2 linked regions of the Nothobranchius furzeri genome follow. The protein of the gene in region 1 interacts with the protein of each later gene in a pairwise test. Links are inferred from orthologs where the notes say so. Each region holds a gene or a part of one and is shown in the gene's direction. Other genes may lie near its edges.

The links.
Region 2: the proteins of ruvbl2 (region 1) and dpcd interact in binary tests that used the Homo sapiens proteins (3 or more experiments, as listed by UniProt). The two-hybrid records come from large-scale screens. The link is inferred for Nothobranchius furzeri from reciprocal best matches to the Homo sapiens genes RUVBL2 and DPCD.

Annotation. Positions count from the first base shown.
Region 1 is NC_091750.1:65,677,865-65,682,551, forward strand, and holds the start of ruvbl2 (ruvB-like 2), read left to right. Parts: upstream 1-1,404; 5' UTR 1,405-1,476; intron 1,477-2,186; coding exon 2,187-2,241; intron 2,242-2,361; coding exon 2,362-2,417; intron 2,418-2,746; coding exon 2,747-2,888; intron 2,889-2,993; coding exon 2,994-3,123; intron 3,124-3,208; coding exon 3,209-3,275; intron 3,276-3,408; coding exon 3,409-3,515; intron 3,516-3,605; coding exon 3,606-3,699; intron 3,700-3,777; coding exon 3,778-3,996; intron 3,997-4,086; coding exon 4,087-4,205; intron 4,206-4,687. UniProt on the Homo sapiens protein: Possesses single-stranded DNA-stimulated ATPase and ATP-dependent DNA helicase (5' to 3') activity; hexamerization is thought to be critical for ATP hydrolysis and adjacent subunits in the ring-like structure contribute to the ATPase activity.
Region 2 is NC_091746.1:23,415,171-23,419,937, reverse strand, and holds dpcd (protein DPCD), read left to right. Parts: upstream 1-1,564; 5' UTR 1,565-1,636; coding exon 1,637-1,700; intron 1,701-2,657; coding exon 2,658-2,738; intron 2,739-2,845; coding exon 2,846-2,967; intron 2,968-3,061; coding exon 3,062-3,195; intron 3,196-3,341; coding exon 3,342-3,444; intron 3,445-3,758; coding exon 3,759-3,863; 3' UTR 3,864-4,077; downstream 4,078-4,767. Other genes in the region: poll (DNA polymerase lambda), read right to left, coding at 421-718, 880-994. UniProt on the Homo sapiens protein: May play a role in the formation or function of ciliated cells.

The DNA of each region.
Region 1 (4,687 bases):
CAAACAAATCCAAATAATAAACATTACTCTTTTTGTTTAGACTGCAGTGATCACATGGGTGGGACTCATTTAAGTATTTCTGATTTCAAGCTTTCAAGTAAACATATACCCAGTTAGCCAATCATGTCAGTTATGTAATTTAAAGTGTGTGGAATCCCGAAAGCTGCACTTTTAGGGGGGAATTCTAATGACAGGAAGGAGATGAAAACCTGCTCCAGAAAGATTTGAGCACACTTTGCTTTACACCCTTTTTTTTTGCATTTCTAAAGGTATAAAAACACGAAATCTAACTTGTCAGAAGAAAACTTAAGGATGGAGTGCCAGCCAACTTATCTTATCAGATATTTTGATTGATATTCCTTTGCATTGATCACTGCAAGTTCACATGAACAAAAATTCCACAGCTTTAAATTATGAGCTTTGCTACCTCTGGTGGAGAAAAGCTTTTAGAGCTTTATTATGGCGTTTTCCATCAGACAATGTTGGCCTTCCTATGCCATGTGGATGTGTTTCTTTTTAATATAGAACAAAAATATATCTGATTAACCCTTCAAAACTTGAAATAAAAAACTTATTACATTTAAACTTACATAATAGTCACAAGATAATTTGAATGGTACGTGTGTATTTGAGAAATAACGTCCCTCACGTATTTGTTCCAAATGCCTTGGTTTAAAATGACTTATTTTCAAAATTATAGTATTTTAATGTGTTTTGTGCTTGATGCATTCTTATTCTCATTGCTTATTTGTTTAGATTATTTTAAGAGAAAGCTCAGTAGATTGCAATTGTTGTCATGTCATCAATTCACAACAGGACAATTCCATTTGAAAGTATATAAAAAAGAAAGTCACAAGAAAATGTCCCTTTATTTTTATTTTTTGCTTTCATTCTTGTTAAATGCACCAGCACACAAATGTCTTCTACCTGGATTACCTCTTTATAATTTTTTATAGTGTTTTAGATTTTAAAGGACCCCTCACTGGTAAGAAGACTTTTTACTCAAAGCAACTTGGAAATTTGTAACTAAAAATATTTTTGCTATTTCAAATGTGAATAGAATATGTTTTAATAGTTGTGCTCATCCTTTTTTAGCAATGGCTTATTATTTTGTATTTGAAATTTAAGAAAAAAGCGATTCTTTTGTTTCTACTGGTTTCCAATGAGAACATTTAAATGACGAAAACACGAAATGCACGGACCCAGTTCTACAAACATTCATTGAACGAGTTAACATTTATAAAATTTTGAATTAGCATTTTATGTACCTTTATAAGAATCGTGTAATGAAACGTATTTACCTCGTTAGTTTTGTCTTCTTGGTCAAAAACAATTCAGTAACAACCGATGGTAACAACGCTCCCCCATGTGCCCCTGTGAAAAAAAAACTACTTGTTTCTAGTCGGACGCATTTGCTCGGTGCACTTTCAGAAAGGAGCGCCTCGTTCTCACGTTTCGGTGAGTGTAGTGGTGCAGGTGAGTGAACACGCTTATTATAAAATAATATAAAATTCAAACATATTACAGTTTATGCTGCCCGATTGCTGTTGTCTGTGTAATTTGAAGAAAGTCTTATGATGTTGGAGTGTTTGACGTCCCCATTCTGCTTGTTTTGAATGTTAGCTTTAAATAAAGCGATGAATGAAGCTAGCTGTTTGCTAACACAACATTAGCCACGGAATGCTATTCTATTCCTGTTTTAACGCTGGCAATGTAGCCGCACATGTTTCGGTATGTTACATAACTAATGTGGTGGCAGTTAAAAGTTTTCTTGCTTTCACGTATGACATTAATATTTGGAAAGTGATCGAAACTTTGTATTACGCTAGCTAATGTATTGTAGCGCATGGGTTATAACTGTCACTATGACAACCAGCTGGACAGAACAGACCTCTCAGACGTTTTCTGATCTAGCAAACAACATAAATATCGTTTTATTGTGGTACATTATTTACTAAAAGGTGTGTCTCATTGCCAAATCAAGTTTTGGATCTGATCTTTACCGTTTTAGTATGATCAGGTTTACACATTAACTATTGTTTTTAATAATTTGACTTATTTTGAGTCATAATGTGAGATACAGACAAATAACTGGTCAGTAGAAGTTGCATTGCTTAATTATTCAGAAACGTAAAACAATCTACTTAATATTACAAGTTTTTCTTGTTGTGTTTCACCTGATGCAGATGGCGGCTACAAAGGTTCCAGAGGTTCGTGATATCACACGGATTGAAAGAATTGGTAGGTGTGGACGTCTTGAACCGTTAACTAATCAAAAAGCTAATTTATCATAAGGGTGTATGATGCTGCTAGTTGTGTGTGCTCTTTATTTTTCCTTCAAATCCACCTTTTTGCGTTCAGGGGCCCATTCTCACATTCGGGGCCTTGGCCTGGATGATGCTTTGGAGCCAAGACAGGTACTCTTGTCTCTGATTCATTTGCTGTGGACTTCCTGTTCATGCTCTCTAAAGAAACTCTGTTAAGTCTTTTAAAAGAAAAAAGCTGTTTGTAAAATGTGTTGTTTGGTTACTACTAATGCATATACTTTGCTAGAACTGGTTAAACTGAAAATACAGTAGATAGCCTGTGTAACCTCAACATCACATCACTTCAGACATTTTCTCTTATATTATCTACCAACACTTTAGAATATTGAGCAGTGTTGTTCTTTTAGGTTTAGTTAATTTTCCAGCATTAATGTGTGTGAGGTTTTGTCTGAAGGAGACTTGATCCTCTTCACCTGCAGGTTTCTCAGGGGATGGTTGGACAGCTGGCTTCCCGTCGGGCAGCAGGGGTCATCTTGGAGATGATCAAAGACGGCCACATTGCTGGCAGGGCGGTCCTGATCGCTGGCCAACCTGGCACGGGAAAGACTGCCATTGCAATGGGTGAGAGCCGAGTTGGAAGCTGTCCATGGATGTAAATGTTTCAAGTTGCATTTTGTTTTGAATCAAGAGTTCCTGCATCCTGTTCCTGATGAGCTTGTCTTATAGGCATCGCACAGTCTCTCGGCTCAGACACGCCCTTCACAGCTCTGGCTGGTAGCGAGATCTTCTCCCTGGAAATGAGCAAGACCGAGGCACTGAGCCAAGCTTTTAGAAAAGCCATTGGAGTGAGGATCAAGTGAGACAGCGGTCACAGATACAGCATTATTTAATTATTTTTGTATGAAATGATTTGCCTTTGACTGTTTTTTCCGTATTTACAGAGAGGAGACGGAGATTATTGAAGGAGAGGTTGTGGAAATCCAGATTGATAGACCGGCCACCGGAACGGTGGGATACTTTCTCTAATGTTAGCTAGTAGTCTCAGAATTTATTGTCTCCCACTTTCTGTTAGCTTAAATACATTGATGTTATTCTCTTTGAAGAGTCCTGTTTAATAAAAATTATATTTTCTTTCCGTCAGGGTGCAAAAGTAGGCAAGCTGACTCTAAAGACGACAGAGATGGAGACTATCTATGACCTGGGCAACAAGATGATTGACAGTCTCAGTAAGGAGAAGGTTCAAGCTGGGTAGGTTCTGTTCGCACAACAAGACTCTCTAGTCTCGTTTTTCTCTGCTGGAGCGACGTTAGAACAAATCTATTTACTCTGTTTTTACAGAGATGTTATTACAATTGATAAAGCCACTGGGAAAATCAGCAAGTTGGGTCGCTCCTTCACCAGAGCCCGAGACTACGACGCCATGGGCGCTCAGGTGTGATGCCACTGTATTCAGATTGAGGATGCAGGTTGACTGATTGCTGGATTATTTTCTTTGTTTTGTCTTTTGTAGACCCAGTTTGTCCAATGTCCGGAGGGAGAGCTGCAGAAGAGAAAGGAGGTGGTACATACGGTGTCCCTCCATGAGATCGATGTCATCAACAGCCGCACCCAGGGCTTCCTGGCTCTCTTCTCCGGAGACACCGGAGAGATCAAGTCCGAGGTCCGGGAGCAGATAAATGCCAAAGTGTGCGAGTGGAGGGAAGAAGGCAAGGCAGAGATTATTCCCGGAGTAAGTTTTAGTGTGTGCAGATTTTTGAAGTTTGGGGTTTCTACCTGCTTAAACTACATAACAAATCATTTTGTTTGTTGTTTTTTCCAGGTGTTGTTTATCGATGAGGTCCATATGCTGGACATGGAGTGCTTTTCCTTCCTGAACCGGGCCTTGGAGAGTGACCTTTCTCCTGTTCTCATCATGGCAACCAACAGAGGCATCACCCGGTAGTGTTTATGCACATCCAGTGGAAAAAAAACTCACAGCTGAAGCTTTAATTGCTATGGAAGCCCATTCCCTCCACTCTGATAAAAAATTATCTCATAAATATGACATAGCTATCTCATTATTAAAATTAAATAATAAAATTATAATTTTTTTTTCTTCTAACTTCCCTATCTTATTATGAGATGGTAAAGTTGTAATTATGAGATAGGGGTTGCATGACTTTATTTTTTTTAAAGTCGACAGTCAAGTAATGAAAATCGAGTCGACTTCGACTAGTCGTTGATGACGTCATATACCTGAAGCGGCGGGGGGGGGGGTCGGTAGGTTCGCTGGAGTTTTTGACAATTAAAATTGCGCCCACATTTTCTAAGTTAAAGACATTTCTTTTAACAACGGTAGTTTCTGCTTCAGCCCCCCCCCCCCTGCGCAGCGGCCGCAAACTCACTGATGTGCCTGCAGTCTCTCGGAGTTCCTGCTGCTC
Region 2 (4,767 bases), on another chromosome or scaffold:
GTTGCACTTTTGCTAAGGCTTTGTGTTATTTTAGGTTTAATAAACACTGTTAAACCTTTTCAAAACTATTTCAGTTTGTGTAGAACAGGACTATCAATGCTTTCTGAACATATGCAACACCGTTTAAAAAATACCGCGATAATACCGAAAACCGTGATAATTTTGGTCACAATAACCGTGAGGTTAAATTTTCATACCGTGACAACCCTAATTGAGAGTGTAGAAAACTGCCACAAACCCCAATCACTGCAAGACAGACATTCATCCTGACTAGATAACTAATAATAATCATAATATTAATAATGTGTATTATTTAAAAGCCTTTTTGAGGACACCCAAGGACACCTAACAGTGGAAGAAAAACACATAACAAAACTAGAGAAAAAATGAACTGTTAAATAAATAAATACTGATAGGAACCTTGTGGGTAAAAGAAGTCTGTAGTTTTCCACATCCAGCAGGTTTTTCTCACTGATGCACAGACTCAACCAACTGCATTTCACCAGATGGACACCAGACGGCACACAATCCACTTTCAGCAAGCGAAGTGCTCTGTGACAGTCCATGCTGTCATCCACAACCACATGAGTCACACTGGGACTCAGGAAACTCTGGATCTGCCCTCCATTCTGTTGGATTTGTCTCTGGAAGATCTGGCATCTGGCTTTTCCAATTCCCGCCGGCAGAAGGTACACTGTGACGTCGTTAAAAAAGTTTCCTGGAGGGAAAAATAAGAATAGAAGAAGCAAAGAGAATACTTTATTTATTTGGAGGAATAACAGAATTCATTTTCTCTTATTGGCTCTCTTAATACGTTTTAAAAGGAACAAGTTGTTTCATAAGTTGTTGCTTGAATGCACATAAAATCAGATTGATCACCTGTGACGTTACACTCATCAAGTTTCTTCTTCAGCACGGGCGCATCCTTTCCCTGTAGCACTTTAGCTCTTTTAACTTTAGGGAAAGCTTTCATGATCCCGTGACGAGGCTCCATCTTGTTAGTAGAAGAGAGGAGCCGATGGCCTGAGGCATGAAGTAAACAAACAGTGGACTAAACTGGGAACAACCTAAACATCTGCAGCAAAATCTTATTACAGCATACATTCACTTCTAAAACATCATAAAACATTACTGCATGCCAGTATGGTGCTTAAAGACAATATTTTGTTACCTCATCCTGCTACACTAACATAAAACGCGTTATCTAAAGGGAAACATTAAAATGTATGGTCAGCTAGATACGACTAAAGGTAGCTAACGTAGGACAAATCAACTAATCAGTATTTACACCGTTTTATACAACCACACATTCCACACGACACCTCAGAACATATTCACACAATTAAACACTTTAAATGCCAAAACATCAGCAATTACCCCTGCTCAGGCGGACCAGGAACTCAGAAATTCTATTTAAATGATTCACTTCCGGTTCAAATGGGTCCGGCTAGTTTTTGGTAAACTTTATTGTCACCGTTTTTTTTAACTTACACACACATTTAATGGTTTTCATATTATTATATAGTTTAAAAGTCCAAACAATATGTTTATATAATTTTCTTTTGTGTGTGTTGACTTTGGTTGTTGTGGTTACGTGCTTGTCCCGGAAGTTGCTATATAAACGCGTCTTGGAATCATGGCTAAGCAAAGCTGGATCGATGTTCTAAAATCAGCAAATAAAACGGCATTGATTCACGACGGTAAATGAAAATAATAACATTTTCAACCGAACTTGGATTTGTTTGATTTATATGTTCCAGACAAGCTGGTTTATCTACGTCTCTATCTGGTAGCTAGCTTTAAAGCTAGTCAGCGTTGCTAGGCAACGAGCTAACGGCGTAATCCATCAAACAGCTAAACTAGCATGAATATAATGTGCGTTTTAAAAACCGTGTTTCTTTTAATTGAAGGTTATAATGTAATTAACATTTCACTGTGTGCTTGTTGTTTTGTTTTTGATAATAACATTTTAGCTGAATAACCTGAACATTGGATTAGCTAATTATTTACATTTATTTCAAACATGTCGGTTGATACAATAACAAACAAAAACAGCGAACAGTTATAATTATAAGAATAAAGTAAGTGTTTTATGGATTACATTTAGGGGTGTTGTTAGCACATAGTTGGATCTGTTGTAACAGTACCTTTACAGTATGTGCTCTCTGAGTAATCCAAGTTCACTTCAATGGTTTGATGAGAATGCAAATAAATAAATCTGAATTGTGTGTACTGAAACTCTAATTCCCCTCTGGGATTAATAAAGTATTGATTGATTTATTGATTGATTGATGTATGTAGAATTTTGTTTGCAAAGGTTTAAACACGCAGACTTCTGCACCTACAAACACTGAACCTTAGATGAAAATTCTGAGCCTCTTTAGTGATGATTTCATTGCATCATTGGAAGTACATTTAAGCATCTAAGCTGATCACAAGAGTGCAGTAAAAGGTGGTGAGCATTATACTCCGTCAGTCATCTGTAGATGCACTACATTTACATCATCTTTTTTTATATTAAGAAATAGATCTTTTGGGACAAATTCAACCTTTCACATCTTATAGGTGTTTTTACATATTATTTCACCAAAGTTTTCCATTTCTCAAACATCCTATTTAATCCGATTTTCCAAAATGTGTTCGAATTTCACCTCCAGGAAAGAGAAAGATCCATTACCTCTTTGCAGATGGAAAAGAAATGGCTGAAGAATATGATGTGAAGACAGATGAGCTCATTGGTAAACAACATATTTGTAGTTTCTCACAGCACAGTGCCAGTTTCACACATCAGTTCATGCACTGGATTAGTTTAAGATGATAAAAAAAAAACTTTTTTGCACAATAGTAAGAAAGTGGCGCCACAAAAGCACACTGGGAGTTCAAAGCTTCTGGCAGGTGGAAGTCGGAGAGCCATTTAACGTAACTGCATCTCTGGACTCGGATGTGATTAAAGAAAATTGTTCCAATGTAAGTATTTTTGTTAACTTTGTTGTTGCAATAGAACTATAGAATCATAGGTGTGCAAATAAAGGGATTTTTTTCTTCTGGCTTGTTTCCTCAGCCCGTTTTCATGCGTAAAGACACAAAAACCAGCTTTCAGTGGAGAGTCCGTAACCTTCCCTACCCCAGAGATGTCTTCAGTGTTTCAGTGGAGCCTCCTGAGAGATGCGTCATCATCAAGACCTCAAATAAAAAGTACATTTATATCGACTACTGGCTGTTGGATCATTCTGAGCACACTTGTGTGCGATCCTCCCATCTTTCCTAAAGCTGGCGCTGTTTACAACACGATTCTCAGAGCTGCAGGATTGACTTGTAACATTCTCCTCTTGTCTCCTCAGATATTATAAGAAGTTCACCATTCCTGATCTGGATCGAAGCCAGCTGCCCCTTGAGAGGTCTGCGCTCAGCTTCACGCACGCCAACAACACTTTAATTATCAGCGTAAGTCTGAGAAATCAGGAACGAAGGATTCATATCTTTACATGACTTTTCTGATAGACACGCAGGAGTTTAAAGTGATTCCTTTCAGACGTGCTCCTACACAGCATCAGCTGCCAAACTATAGGAAAAGTATGTTTGTTTTCAAGTGATAAGAGAAGCTCCTGCAAACCATAATCTGTATAAATAATTAGGGTGATGTTATTTTTAGTTTTTAACACTCACATTTAGTTAGTTAGCTTTTCTTTAGTTTACTCTGCTGATCTTTGTGAAGAATCAGGCGTGAGGATGGATGCTTTTCTCTTATTTTGGATCAGTACGCGAAGCCCAAAGACGTCCTGAGCTTGGAGACGGAAGTCCTGAGGGAGCTGAAGAAGCTGAAGGGGGCGGCTGAAGGAGACGCCGACTGTAAAACTCAGTGAATTCTGACTGTGAGCAAAACAACAACCAAGGACGGCCGCTGCGCTGTCAGCTCACACAGAAGCTGTTGTTAGTTTGTTTATTTAACCGTCAGTGCCTTGTTTCAGGTTTTAGCCCTCTGATTGTGACGATTTTCATCATTTTAGTTGTGGAAGTAAAGGACATGAACATGTTTGTTGAATTTGTTTTTCTGAATATAAAAACTTTTGAATGTCACCTGACCTTTATCTTTCTGAAACCATGGAGGTGTGCTGTATTTTCTGGTGGGGGCAGCGTTACGAGGGTCACACACCCTACAACTCTCCTTTCACTCCTGCCCTCGTAAAACACTCAGAACACACAAAGCTCCATCCTTGTTGGCTCCGAGGTCACGGTTAGGAAGACGCTTCATTCGTGTTAAATGAATACCCTTATGTCCGTGCACGCCGCTGGCCACCCTGAAAGCTTCGCTGGAGCTGCTTTCATCGTTAATCCTCACTCGCCTTGACCTTAACTCGTAAAAGATTATTTAAAGAACGTTTCATGATTCTTTCTGTGTTTTAGTTTGATTTAAACCTGATAGGAAAAAAAATGTTAATCAACTTCCAACTCCAATTAGGAGAAAAAATCCCTGTCCTGTTGGAAACGCTTAAAACACCAAGAGGAGCTGTTCAGAGTGGACATTTTAAATATAGACCCTTTCAGCCTTGTGATTCCTAACATTTTTTTCCCGCTTGTCCAAACCCAGAGAGCAAGTGCGGAAAGCAGAGACAAAACCACAGGCCCCGCTCACCATTGTTCCTCGTCTTCTTCAGACGGGACACGAGAGAACATTTAAACCAGCCTGCATTGTTGCTCTGGAGACTCTCGAGAGGGACCTGACGGATTCAGCTTTTAACTGTGAAGTGACTAAAAGACGCTGGTTGT